2 linked regions of the Stegostoma tigrinum genome follow. The protein of the gene in region 2 interacts with the protein of the main gene of each other region in a pairwise test. Links are inferred from orthologs where the notes say so. Each region holds a gene or a part of one and is shown on either strand. Other genes may lie near its edges.

The links.
Region 1: the proteins of id1 (region 2) and myf5 interact in binary tests that used the Homo sapiens proteins (3 or more experiments, as listed by UniProt). The link is inferred for Stegostoma tigrinum from reciprocal best matches to the Homo sapiens genes ID1 and MYF5.

The regions. Positions count from the first base shown.
Region 1 is NC_081371.1:40,044,081-40,051,645, reverse strand, and holds the start of myf5 (myogenic factor 5), read right to left. Parts: upstream 3,092-7,565; 5' UTR 2,955-3,091; coding exon 2,448-2,954; intron 2,373-2,447; coding exon of another isoform or gene 2,367-2,372; exon of another isoform or gene 1,695-2,366; intron 711-1,694; coding exon 635-710; intron 1-634.
Region 2 is NC_081372.1:11,871,426-11,878,649, reverse strand, and holds id1 (DNA-binding protein inhibitor ID-1), read left to right. Parts: upstream 1-4,949; 5' UTR 4,950-5,025; coding exon 5,026-5,391; intron 5,392-5,770; coding exon 5,771-5,812; 3' UTR 5,813-5,833; intron 5,834-6,092; 3' UTR 6,093-6,716; downstream 6,717-7,224. UniProt on the Homo sapiens protein: Transcriptional regulator (lacking a basic DNA binding domain) which negatively regulates the basic helix-loop-helix (bHLH) transcription factors by forming heterodimers and inhibiting their DNA binding and transcriptional activity.

The sequences.
Region 1 (7,565 bases), on a different chromosome or scaffold from region 2:
TATATAAAAGAAATGGCCGTGTGGCGATAAGTGCGCAGACCTCAACAAATATGTAAACAACATAAAAACATACTTTATACATATGTAGAACTCTCTTCATTCTTAGTCGTTATCTTAAAGCAATGTGCCCTTATTTGTTCCCTCATACACATTTGTTAAACTTAAAATGTCGCTGGTCTTTACGACAGTAACCATTGCATTATTTAAAAAAAGGCTACTGTGAGCCAAGTGCTCTCATTTTAAAAATAATCACGTGAAAATAAAACAGATTCCCAGACCCATTCAGGAATACCCGCTGTTTCACTCTGCCGCGTTCAGTATTCTCTCAAACTTTTCGTGGAAATAAACTGTACTACTGGCTGTATTTTGTTTGGGTCTACTGTGCGAAGGACCTCAAGTAATGAGTATAGATTTAAAACAGTTATTGCTTTACAATGGGAAAGGTTCAAACTAGAAGCTGTCACTTCGACCGTGGGTTAAGAAACAATCTACAATTAATAGCTTCTTTAACTGGAGAGCCTCGTGTACTTGTCATCATAAACTGCGCCTCAGGAGTTAATATCTAATTTCGTCAGTTTCAAGGTAGACTTGTGATGAACTGTAAAATGATTTCACAAAAATCGTTAAAATGTACCGTTCTGTAATTCCGAACAATAAATGCGGTCAAAACTGATGTTCCTCCTAGACCAGACGGGGCTGTTGCATCCCATCTGCAAAGACAAATGAAATCAAAGTAAAAATCCTCCAAACCTTTCACTGAAACCTTTATATAAATTCATCGTAACAAATGACTTTATACTGTGCGCGTCAGAAGGCTTGAATGAGTAAAACAATGATTACCCCGGACGGAAATAAACCCATCTGTTGATTAGACATAGTTGGTTTCTTTGCCACACCATGGTTTTCTCACATAAAGCATGAGGTCTGTCTGTATGCCTGTATAGCAATGTGCATTGTGTTATCCATGGAAAATGAATTGCATGTCTCTGCAGTTAACGGAAGCTACATTAATTGTGCCAGGTCAGATTTTCCCGTACTGACTTCATATTAAAGCTTTGGCTCTGATAGTCAAAAACGTAGTGCTGTAAGAATGTTTCACTAGTTGTTGTTTCAAATAACACAGGCTTCAGTTTGCTGCTGCTTTCAGCTCCTGTGGAGAGCAGAATGTGCAGAGGTGGGAAAGTCATCATCCCCGCTTCCAAAGAGATCAATGTGTGTGGCAGCAACTTTGACTGAAGTGGCGAGAAGAAGCAGTCGGTCACACATAATGAGACCCAGGCGCCATCTAAGTCAAACCCTGAGCTACAGAGAACATTTCATCTAATTTCCAGCAAGTACTAATGAAGTTGTTTAGCTCCTCTCCCCCCCCCCCCCCCCCCCATTAATATACGAAATGAATCACAGAAAGATGTCCGACAACTGCGAATGCAACTTTTTGGCCATCCTCATTGCTGGCCTCATCCTTCGCGGTTTCTCTCATGCCGCCTTGTGAGCACCCAAACACTCAACAGAGTTAAAACATGGATAAAGACCGGTCTGGTCGGGGCAGTGCACAGTGCAGCTATTTTGATGTTACTTGGGAAAAGTAACCGAAAATCAATTTACTGATATGCGAATTGAAATGCTGCTTGCACCTGAATAAACAGTCTTATTGTTAATTACTTACATTGAGCTTGGACCATCTCTTGGACCGTATTGAGGGACAATTTGCTTTTAAAGGGACCGTATCTGTTCTTTTATAAAGTATTTTGATAATTGCTCCATTAGTTGGTTCACGATTATTTAAGATTGAAAGGCCATTTGGTAAAATCAACCTCTTTGACCTTAATGTAACAACGAGTTCCGTTTGTTATTCATTGCAGCCCATTTTAAACGCCAATTTGTGAAGCCTGGTATCATTCCAGATCTTACACGAACACATGAAGGCAGATGTCGGACAAAAGAATGAAATGGTGAAACGTTTCCTTATACACGCTCAGGCAAAGTTCATCATTCTTTATCAGAAGTGGGGGGGGGGGGGAGGCCCAGCCACCAAGTCCTGATGAAATGACACGGCCAATTTAACGAACAGACTTGTAATCGATAGTTTAGGCACTCGTACAGACCAGATTTTACTTCAGGATGCAAAGAAGAAAACTTTACGGGCAAGATGTTCTCGACTCGCATTAGTAATACAAAGAAACACACTGAGCTAATGTCAAAAACAGACACGCCGCACGTTATCTGCCAGGCCAAGCGAGTATGTCGATCATAGAAATGACGGAGGGTTCCGAGACAAACAGATGAATCAAACGGAATGATTCTGAACCAGAGGTTTCACTTCGTTCCTCTTAAATACGGACAACAATCCTGTAGCGCATTTTCTTTTAATTCTGCAAAAATAGATATGCGCATTAATTCTGTGTACATTAGAGAAGGGGGATGGGAATTATTAAATCGTTGCTTACCATTTCGTCCGAGCAGTTGGACGTGGGACTTCCAGGCTCTGAGTTGACATTGTCTGGGAGGCTGTAATAATTCGCCACTTGTTCCCTCAGGAGCTCCTGAAGACTCTCGATGTAACTGATCGCGTTCCTCAAGATCTCCACTTTAGGCAGCCTCTGGTTCGGATTGGAGCTGGTGCACCTCTTCAGCGTCTCGAAAGCCTGGTTCACTTTCTTAAGCCTCCTCCTTTCCCTCATGGTGGCCGCCTTTCTCCTGTCAGTGCTGGAGCTTTTACGTTTGCAGGCTTTGCAAGCCCAGAGGAGACAGTGGCCCCCAGCCTGGTGGTGGCTGCTCGGGGCCCTGACATGTTTCTCTTCTTCAGGTTCGCCGGACTCCAGTTTATTATCTCGAAACGCAAGTGCGCCGTGCTCAAACTCATCCGCAAACTCTGCCTCCTCGGGCGACGAGAGGCAAGAATGATCATAAAACAGGTCGGAGGGAGAGAAGTGGCAGTCGACCATAATATCCATAATGGCGAATCCAACTGGTTTGGCTGAAGCGCAGAACTCGCCCAAGCTCTCGATATAATCAAACTAGTCGATGGAGTTTTAAAGACAAATCTCGGTCAGGGTCAGAGACAAGAGCCCCGAACGTATATAGAAGAGCTCTATATATACACACTCTGGGGTCTGTAACACAACTGACATCCAGTATCCCCCCACCCCCCCACCCGGTCATTAACCCTAGATCCGTCCCATGGGGCATCTCTTTAACCCTTGTTGGGCCTGGAAGGTCTCCTCCCACAAGACAAAAAGGACTTTGCGCAAAATGAAACCGACATTGAGCCATCAGGCAAGACAATCACTCCTGGACCAGGGTTAAACAAATCAGAAAATTAATTATCGCTCTCCGTTTTAACAGATTTATGCTGAAAACCTAATAAGATGCAAATAACATAAAGAATCCATAAAATCTGTTTGTTCGAAGGCACGGAGACATTATAATGGTCAGTAACCCGTTGCCGGGTGTATCGGCTGCTCGACTCTATAATTTACTTAATGCATCCACTGAGGTTTTATTCCCGTTCGTGCCCATTGACCGATTTCTGTTTAAGAAAAGCTAGTTTGTTGCATACGATGCTAGATTTCAGAATTCACAATCAGCAGGATTGACACAGAGGCTGGGTCACTTTACCACCGTTGGGTAGATTTCCTAGTTGTAATTCTGTTTCTCCGACCAGCAGCGTTTCAACTTTGGCCGGGAGGCGAGCGACGTGCAGCTAAAAGCTTGTCAGCATAACCTCCCGGCAGGAGTCGCTTAAAATGTCAACATGTGAAATTACATCAACTCATGTAATTGCTGATCGCTTTGGGGTTTTATTCATAGAAATCCGGGAACACTGATTTCAAATGGTTGGAATAGCTAACTTTTTCTGTGCGCCTCCGCAACAAAACACGCCATGAGGTTGCGGCTTTCTCTTTAAGCCCACATGTGTTTTCAGCAATAGTGTAGCACTCCTGAAGAGTGCGAGTTAGACCAAACCTGCCCCACCTTCAGGCACGCTGCTTCTCAGGCTGCAGATTGTAATGCAGCAGTTTTACTGCTCCCCAGGGTATGCTAATTTCACGGCTGAAGCAAATTCACACCGTTACAGATGCGGGCCAGCTGCACCTATCCCAGCTTCCTTTAAGGCGCAAGGTTTTCCCTCACCAAAGTGTCAGGCAAATTCACACTCCGTCCTGACCAAACACTCCCGAAGTGTCAACGGGTCAACGAAGCTCTTAAGTGGTCGTCAAATTCGCAACGACGGGAATTCGTGGTTAGCGAAACCGAAAAGTCAATGGAGCGCCATTTGGGTGCAATATTGTTTCATTTGTTGAATTTTCTGTCAAATTTACTGAGTTGGTTTATTTTCATTCTCACTTACCTTAGTTTAAACACATGACGAACTGTTAGCACGCACCAGTTCATTATTTGAAAAACAGCAAAACCGCGTCAAAATACAACATGCTGGCAAGTATTTAAACACATTGAGAACTGTTTGTTCAAATGCTCCTTAACCTGCTTTAAAGTGGCTAGCCTTTTTGTGTAATAAGGTTACACTGAATACTCTAGCAACACTTGGAACTCCTTTGGGACAAGTAACGGTGGTTTTAAGGAAGCGCAACTTTACAGCAGCAACTTGGTATGTTTTTCGATGGCCGTTATCAAAACACGAAGCAAGACCAAGCAAAAGCCTTAGAACAGTGAGGGTGAACGCGCAACATCCAGACCAGTAGGTTGTTGAGGAAGTTGACTTACTCTTTGCTGAGTGGAGAATTGAGGTGCTGAAATTCTCATCGAAAGCCTCCCTACAAACACAGTCTTACAGTGGTAGTTTAGACGGCAAGATCAAACCTTACCAACACATTCAACATTTGAACACCAAAATCAGAAAGACTTCTATTCGTTTTCTCCACAAAATCGATATGTTACTTTAGACAAGGTTATGTATTGAGACGCCGTACATAAAGCAAATTACTGACAAGAGTTTAATGGTTGTGCAAACACTATTGCTCTTTTCGTTAGTCTTAGGAGGCTGAATCCACAACCGTTGTTGGACGTGTTTAACCGTTTGCACTATAAAATAACTCGACATGCTCCCTGTAAAACTAAGTGTCTCAAAGATTATTTGAATGTCTTTGCCTCGCGATTTTCGTCCGCATCCTATTTGAACAATTTGGACATGCTCGATCGGTCTGAAATTAAAACACAAGTTACTGCACATTGCGCGATCTAACTTTCATGGGGGCTGCAGCCAGATTTGCATTACATCTGTCAGAACGCTTGAATACTTGTGTTCGCGGCCTTTAGCCATGTCTCCCGAATTAACATTCAGGCCTGCATTCAATCCGTTTAGTACTTGACTTGGACTCAGTAGAAAGACAGCTGAAGAAGACATTGAGTTTTGCTGTTCTAACCGCCTTCCAAGTGAGATCAAAGCAAATTTCTTCAAGACTCCCATATGGGGAAAATCTCCTACATTTTTCTTTTGAAGCGCAAACCCGACCAGCCGCTTGGCGCAGAGTGCATGGTTGGCCACCCATGTTCCAATTGCACAGCGATTTTTTTTACCGAATTTACATGATTATTAAAGTATTTTTTGTAAGTTACGTGCGTTTCTGTTTAAATCCGTGTTTGGAGCCAGCAAACTACTGCGCTTATAACATGTAATCAACATATGGATCTAAAGTGGGGTTCTCATTGTACAACGCGAACACTTGTACAGTGGCCAGTGTGATCTGACTTCACAGTACTGGTTCATCCGGACTGCCGTGCAAAGTCTGAATGTTATCTGGCTAGTGAGGAAACTCAATACGTTGGAAGGATGCGTGGGTCTGGCAATTCTATGAACTCACGTTGGGCTCCCACCCTGGAATCCGAACTGATTTAAAAAAAAGACATCCAACATCACTGCTAGCCAACAGAAATTGAAAATTAATGAGTGAACTAACTTCTGTTTGTCACTAAACGCTCCAACAAGGAATTACTGATGAGACCGTTGTGTCTTTTCAGCATGGTCTCTCAAAACATGGCACAGGGTTGAACGGAGGTTTGCAGACTTTTGCAGTAAATGCATCAGTCTGCCATCAAACATAGTCTGAACATTAATTCCGAGATTTACCTCGAATTATTTTTGTTGTTACCGCCACTAGTTAATTAAATTTCGGATCAGGAACGCTGTAGGTTTGTGATGGCCTATCTGGTTGGTTTTTGAAATAATCATGACTGAGCTGTGTTTAAAATCCAAATAAATAATCCCTTTTCAGGTTAAACATTAGAGATTACGAAAACGAAACCCTGGTTCTTTCTGTAAACGCTGTGGACGGCAGATATGATCTCCAACTCGAATCATTTTCATTCGTTTTTCAGCAGAGAATTTTGCAATCAAATCCCTCTGGACAAAGCATACATTGAATCCTAATCGCTGATCTTGTGTACACCAGTACTAGTCATTTGCATATATCAGGTGTGTTTTCTTTGGACATAAAATCAGATACTAATCATCATAATTAATACCAAACAACTTTTTCAAGAGATTTTTAAAACATCTCTAGGCTGAGGCAAGGTTAGAAATGCCAGAGTTTGTTTCTAAAGAGTTGTTTTTGTCTATTAATAATGAATGTTTGCAGCAATCATTAGCAAGTGTTATAAGTCTTATCCAATAATGGTGCTGAAGACACTGCAGTTGTAAACTGGAGTTAGAAAGGTATATTAATAAGGCATTGTGCTACAGCAGACATGGGATAATGACCTTTAAAACCTTTAAACATAACTAAGAAACAAGTACTGCCATTTTTCAAATCAAGTTTTAATAGTTCACAATGGCAGGTAATTATCAAGAGTAGGTGAATAATTTCCCCTGTCAAATTAAGAAGGACTATTTATTTTCCTCAAATTTCTGCAACCCAAAGTTACTATTTATTGGTACAAGAAGTCAAATGCATTTTAAAATGTTTTCAAAAACAGTTTTTCTTGACATTTCTCGAAAGCATGATTAATACTGTAATTAAGATATTTCTCACGTTGCAACTTTAACTGTTTACTGAGAGATCTCAAAACTCAATAATTAAACAGCCACCTAACAATCATTGTTGTGATAATATTCAGAGAGTTGCGAACCATTCTCCATTCTGTATGTTTAACTGGCCCTTGCAAATGTCTGGGATTCCCCTGAACATTAGAAATTAATTCAGGAGTATTGAAATATCTGCTAACAATGGATCTGACACACTACTAAGAAGAAATGGACATTCACAGAAAAATGCGTAAAAATTTCAGAATTAACTCAATTACATCAGGCATGCTGTTATTCTGTGAAACCTTTAATTATTCCTATAAATATCATAATTGTATACTTAAAAAGTTCCCACACTTCTGCAGTGAAATTAATCCATCCTGGCCAAAAAGAATCTTACGCAGAGAAGGTGTCTTTTGAACCATCATACCTATTCAGACTCTTTGTGGAAGCCATCCTTGCTCTACCACATTTCCATATATTCCAACAAATGATTCTTTTTTAGGTATTAGTGCAATCCCATGTAAGAAATCAATGTGTAAAATTGAAGCTCATAGGATTGGAGGTAGTATATTGAGATGGA
Region 2 (7,224 bases):
TGGTTGAAGGATAAGCATCAGCCTGGACATCAGTAAGTAACAAATATTGGCTGATTTACTCTCAAGCTTTGGCTAATGATATCCATGACTGAGAGCTGTTACTCTTTTGTATCTGATATGATGTCAAAATGATGAATACGTTTCACTGTGGGTGATGAATTTTACCGCTGGGTTAGAAGTCAAATTAATTACCACAATGACAGCATTTCTATTAATTTGGCCCAAGTACTCTCCCCAATCTCCCACTGAACTGGCCTGCCTTACAACTGGTGATATTTATCGACAACAAGAACAGAAGTTGTTGGGAAAGCTCAGCAAATCTGCAGCATCTGTGGAGAGAAATCAGAATTAATATTTTGGGTCCCACTGGTGCTTCCTCAAAATGGAACTGGAGCCGAAGCATTAACTCTGATTTCTTTCCACAGATGTTTCCAGACCTGTTGCGCTTCTCCAACAATTTCTGTTCTTGTTTCTGATTTCCAGCATCCGCACTTCTTTTCAGCTTTAATTTGATATTTACAGTGATTTAATTTAACATCATTGAAATAGAATCATGAGAATTATACCATCACAACAACCTTGCTGTGAAAGATAGCCATTGCCCGGCCAAGAGTGATGGGATTCAGCGATGGGAGGGCGACAGGGTTAGGGGATGAGATTGGAGAGAGCTAATCATGAGTGTGTTGGCTTATATCTACCTTCCACCACCAGTCAGTTGACTTTCAGCCATTGATGCCAGTTCAGTGCCCAAATTGCAAACTCAGCAGAGCACAGTAGCATCAACCAAGACGCCCTTAGCAACTAGTTCTGCTGGAGCTCTGCCAGAGACCTTGAGGCTTGTCTGCAATATGTCCTTCTAAAACTGGAAAGGTGCACAATGTATTTTAGGAGAAAGGAGAATCGTGTAGTTTTTTTTACAAAAGAAAGTTTTTATATCCCTCTCTTTGTAAGTAACAGTACACTATTCATTTCAAGAATAACTCCAACTTCAAGCAAGTAGCCTTTGCAATTAGTTATGTGCTGTATGCAGAACTTTCTCCTTGCCTCTGTGAGACTACAGTGTTTCATTTTTTAAAAAATATATTTTGTCTGATATGCTGTAAACAAGATTAGTTGGGGGTTGGGGATATAGGGAGACCCATCTGGCTGGGTCATTGTTGAAGGGCAGTAGGAAACGTTGATAGTTTTTGCAGCTGAACAAAGAGCGCTGAGGAGTGCAAAGAGGAGACTCAGACAGAGTGTCGCCAGGCTGAATCTCTCCCACAAACTCACTTCTTTCCCCTATTGTTCTAACTGCCCTGCAGTCTCGGGCACAGCCTGTGAGCCATGACCTGAAACAGGAACAGCAAAATGCAATCGGACGTGAAAGTTAAGATTTCAGTTTTCAAAGCTGGAAGGGAGAAAAAACTGGAAGAAAACTTCAACGTTGCACGAATTAACACATTTTATCATTAACCAAGTCAAATTCTGTTAACAGTCCTATTTAACACCAGTTTTATCACTTTAGTGGCAATTTTAATATATATTGTATTATTTATACATATGACAATTTTTGTGTTTTTACGAGTAGATCTCAAGGAGAATTGCGAGTAAATGCACAAGAATTTGGAAATACAGTTGCAGAAATTTAGCATAATAAACGGGGACAGTAATTCCATACAAAAATACATTTAATCTAAACTTCTCATCAGCGTGGCAACTTCATTCCACTTGTATATTTTAAACCTAAATATGCTTCTAACCTTCTGTTTTGGATGCAGTGAAATTGTTACACATGGGGACATAGTCTGACTTCAAAAGTACATTTTAGAAGAAAGGTTTAGATCATATGCTATTTTTATCTCTGTGTTACAAGCAAATTTGGACAATGTGATTTCTCCATTTAGTACAAAAAAGGGCCAGTTTAGAAACACTTACCCACAAACCTAATTCATAAAACACAAAGTCAGTAATAATCAGGCATTAGGTACAGTCAGACCCACACTCCCAACCATAAAAAATGAATCAGGGCTATTCTGTAATATATCCATTCCATCTTCCCAGGGCTAGGCAACACAAGCAGATGTGATCTAAAATACCCGGTCCTCCCCCTTAAAATGTGTTGTCAAATTGTGTCCGTATGGGAACATGTACAAAATATATGTTGCAGCAATAGCCAACTATTTAAACACAGAATGCATGTTTTAAAACGTGTAGCCGGACTACAAGAGGAATATATCTATAGGTAATCTCTTTATAATGTGTTAACTGCTGTCCTGCAGTGCTAGAGCTTTTGCAGCTGGTTTATGTATTGCAATGCAGATATTGCTTTCAATGGAGAATCTCTCTCTCTCTCTGTGTGTATATTCCCGAAACCCTTTCCCTCTCTCCACCTCCTCCGAGTCTAGCTCCAAGCGTTTAGCAACTGCAAGCATTCCAACCATGCGAACTCCCTCCCCCCCCAAAAAAAACACAAGCAACAATACGGCTTTGCAGGTGTGCGGGTGTAAACTTTTTAAGAGGGGTTAAGGTGACAAATTAAAGGGCGATTTATCAGGGTGCAGATGATTGCCAGTTAATTGCAGGCTGTTCGGCGCCCTTGTAGTGCGGGTGATTGGCGTGTGGGTCGCCATGGCGACCGCCTGCACGGCGCCAGCTTGACAGGCGTCAAGGCTGTATGAATGGGTGACGTCACGGCCCTGGCGCCTGCCAGTCTGGAGGCTGCTTTTGGGGGGAGGAGGGAGGGACACATACACCAGTCCCTGGGAGTGCAAGAAAAGGAAAAAAAAATGCATCTTCACCTCCCTCGACAAAAAGTGCACAGTATCTGTTGGAAAAATTCCTTCTTCCTCCCCAAATCTGCACAGATTTAAAAACGCTTGCTTCTTACCAGTTTGCATCAAAAAATGACAAGCCTCCGCGGTAATCCCAGGATAAGCCTTTTCACAGTTTCATTTCACAGTTTATTTTCTCTGTTCTAAATGTTTCCATGCATCCCCTCATCTAATTTTATTTTCTCCCTCTCCCAATTCCTGCTTTTAAAATGCATATACTGTAATCTTTGGAAAATTCATTCATTCTCCTTCCCCCCCGTTTCTCTGAATTTGTATTTACCCCTAAATTCCCTTGTTGAAATGCACATAATCACTGGAAGATTCCTCTGTTCTACACCCCCATCTCACTTTCCCTCTTTAAATTTATTATTCCACCCGTTTTTAAATGCACATAATCTGGAAAATTCCTTAATTATGTCCCCTTTACTGTAGATTTGTTATTGGCTCCCAGTTTGCCCCTTAGAAATTTAAAAATCCTTCCATTTTCCCTCCCCCTTATTTAAAAATACTTGTTACAAGTTGCAAACAAGAACAAAATTGCAGCAATAGCAATTAGATCTTTCAGGGAAATCTCTTTCACATTGATCATCTACTTATTCCCCTCTATATTTTTTATTGCCGGCCCCATTTCTTTTCTCTAAACTTGTCACTGCTCTCAGTTTTCCCCTTTTCTGTGGAAAATCCCTTCATTCTCTTTTTAAAGAAACTTGTTACAAAAAGTCAGATAGAAGCACTTCAATAGTGGTTAGTGTCAACTTTTTGACAGTTTAATCATTGTTTTTATCTCTCAAGTTTAACTGCCCTCCTCTGAACTTTGTTATTGCTCCCTCTCTAAATTCCCATTTAGAATTACACCAAATATCTGGAAAATACCTTCATTTTCCTTCTTACAAATTGCAAAACAAAAATGCCTCTCAAGTGATTAATCTTCCACGGATAACATTGTGCTGTTTAATCATTCATTTTTCGTCTAAACTTTAACTACACTCCCCTCTAAAAAAGGTTATTTAGAAAAGCACTGAATCTGTGGAAAAAATGTTTCATTTCCCCTCAAGCTTACTTATTACTGATAGGAAAAATAAAAGTGTTTCAAAAAGTTATTTCACTGTTTAAATAATATTTTTCCTCTTAACTATAACTGTCCCCTTTTAAAACTTTGTTAAGCCTTAGCTCTGACATCTTGTTTTGTAAGGACAAGACAAAAACGTTTAGTTTTTAAAAAGTTTTAACTGAATAAGTTGACAGTTTTAACAACAAGAAGTTTACTGTGTGATTTTTGCTGTTAGATTCGTTTTGAATTTATATCGATCCTGGAAGTTATTCACAGTAATATAACACAATTTACGTAAAACGATAAATCCACTTTCCCCACGTCTATTTGGTTAAATTCCTCGTGGAGTTTACTTTTCTTGAATATAAATCTTAAAGCAAACATTTTAAACATTTTAACAGGAATGAAAGGGTTTTTAACTTAATGTAACGTCTCCTTACAGTCCAAAGATCGTCAAGCACTAGCTTCACCAAATTCCTCTATATTCTGTTTTGCAACATTCCGTTACATTTCAATACTTTCTAAATCTCTGCAGATCAATCTGTATTGCAATGCAAATACTGTTGTGTTGCGCACTTGGGATGGCAACATGATGCAACTTCAATTTTGCATTTTAATTTGTGAAGAGGAAAAATGTTTAGTCCCAGTTGAGATTTCAACTAGTTATTTTTGGCTAGTTATTCCCTGGTAATGCGTGCAGGGAAAAAAAAACGAGAAATCATTCAGAACCTTCAGTGAGCATCTGATGAGTTTACATTCTCATGAATTATGTCCCCACCCACGCCCTGGGGCGACCCCCACCTGCCGACCCCACTAGATACAAGCCAGCTGGATTCCCACATCTTCAGCAAAATATGTACTTTTTTCTCCCATTGAGGTCCCCCCCCCCCAAAATGCCCCCACTCGGCCAACTCTTGACAGATTTCAAAAGCTTGATGCAAACCAGGGTTCTCCATTGGCACACGGGACTGTAAACCACGCCTCATTTTGTTGCTGAAATTAGTTGTCATTTGCTGGGAGACATGGGCCTGGATTTCAGGATTTGAGAGACGCCCATTTTTTTCAGTGGAGCATAAAAGCTGACCGATAGCTCCAGAGTTGTCACAGCGATTTCTCTACTTCATCAGGTTTTTGGTGGTGTTTCTCCTCAACAAACGGATAATGAAAGTGGTCAGTGCCGCCTGCTCGCTCAAGCGCCAGGGCTGCACCCAGGAAGTGGTGCGCTGCCTGTCGGAGCAAAGCATCGCGATCGCTAAGTACAAAGTGTCCCCGCTCCTGGACGAGCAGATGAGCATGTTCCTGTACGACATGAACGGCTGCTACACCAAGCTGAAGGAACTGGTCCCCACGCTCCCCCAGAACAAAAAAGTCAGCAAAGTGGAGATCCTGCAGCATGTCATCGATTATATCTGGGACTTGCAGCTCGAGTTGGACGATCAGTCGGGAATGGGTTGTCAGGCAGCCGCTGGAACCGCAGGCCAGTCTCGGACACCTCTCAGTGCAGATGTTACAGGATTGTCAGCGGAGGTGAATACTGCTAATAAGTCCATGTATTAAATAATGCATTCAAAAAGTTAAGGCACTTAGTTAATGCTTAAAAGTAATCTAAGAAAATAGTTATGGTAATATTATTACTTACTTTTAGAAACCTTTAGTGTTTTAAATATTATCAAATGTGCACTTTAGCCTTATTATTTTGGAATAGATTTTAACTTACTTTGAGCGTACACGCCTACCTGGGATTGGACATCTGTTTTATTAATAGTGTTAATAACGTGAAGTAATTTCTGGGAAACTTATTTCCCTGTACACTCATCAAATAAGTTGAAAAAGAGAATAGTTCTCGCAGTATTGTGATTGGCAAGTTGACTTAACGATCCCCATTTTTTTTTCCTCCAATCTTTAGGCTCCCTGTGTGAGCAGTGATGACAGAATTCTGTGTCGCTGAATGGATTCACTTTACTTGCAGGTATGTACAAGATTTGTAACCACTTCCCAAGCGGAACTCGACTTGTCCCTCGTGTGAGGGTCAGGTTTCTTGGGCTTTGCTTGAACAATCGAAAGGCTGAAATCTGAACCCAAGTTCTCTGACAGTGTTGGCTAAAGTCGTGGCATCTCAGTGCTTACCGAGCTGTTCCAGTGCAATGGCGTGTTTCATATTGTTCTGTCTTTAATCTTGCGAATGGAAAGCATTTTAATTTTTTCTGTTTTCCCCGTCTCTATTTCAGGTATTCCAGATGCTAAAATATAACATGATCCGGTGGTGCTGGATTAACAGTACATCCATCCCGCAGTCCCTGGGAGAGGGAAAAGAGGAGAGCTGGAAGAAATTAAAATAGTCAGTGCTCCTGAGATGCTGCTTGGCCTGCTGTGTTCATCCAGCCTCATTTTATTATCATGTTATTGGGACTAATGTCTTTGATCACGGCACCAAGCGAGAGCAGATCTTGAGTTGATCGCCAGGCTCCAGGACTCTCGGCCCTTTTATTTTAGTCTTCCATCTGAACCCAGGTGGACGCGGGAACTAGGCGGAAGCACAGCAAAGTTTAGTAACTCTTCCTAGCGACGTGCCTAGCAACAGATTTAACTGCGTATAGCCGCGCCATCTCTTCTCAAAATGTGTTGTGTGCGCGCGAAATGCCACTACTCCACAGGCCATTAACGAGACACGCTGGACTCTAGAATTGAGATTGTATATTGCATCCTTAGAGATCTATGGGGGTGATTCAGTTGTAAGTTTTATACTTTGTAAGTGTGTATTGAATTGTTTACAACAATGTTGTACTAAAGATGATTTTTTTATTGATTTTTTTGACGAATTGATTAAAATAAAAACTAGTCAAATAATTAAACCTTGTTTTTTTGTGTGTGTACTTTCTGACATTACAAGGGCTCGAAAGAGGTGCACAGCGCCCAAAGAGTTTTAATGTAGCGACTCTCACTACACCCAGGGTCGGTGTAAAGCAATTAATGTTCCAGATTTCGTCAAATAATGAGGGATGTAGAGCGGCGATGCCGTTAATAGCGGCCCATATTCTGATTTATTAGCCCTTGACCGAAATAAATCATTTTAATGAAATGGGGGGGGGGTAGACTTTAACCATGCTGAGTGATTTCAGAAGCATGTTTTGGATGAGCGTAGCAAAATGACAAGCTCTGCTAGTGACGGCTACTCAAAAAAAACACGGTGAGTAATGGGTATGACGATTGCAGCTTTGCTCCCTGGCTGTAATAACCCGGTGAGGGAGAGACCGGAAACATTCACTTAGAATAGCTGAAAGCGCTTTGAAGCAGATGTGAGAAAGGGGGTGTTACCACAAGCCAATCTGCCAGGCACCGTACATAATTAATTTGCACAAG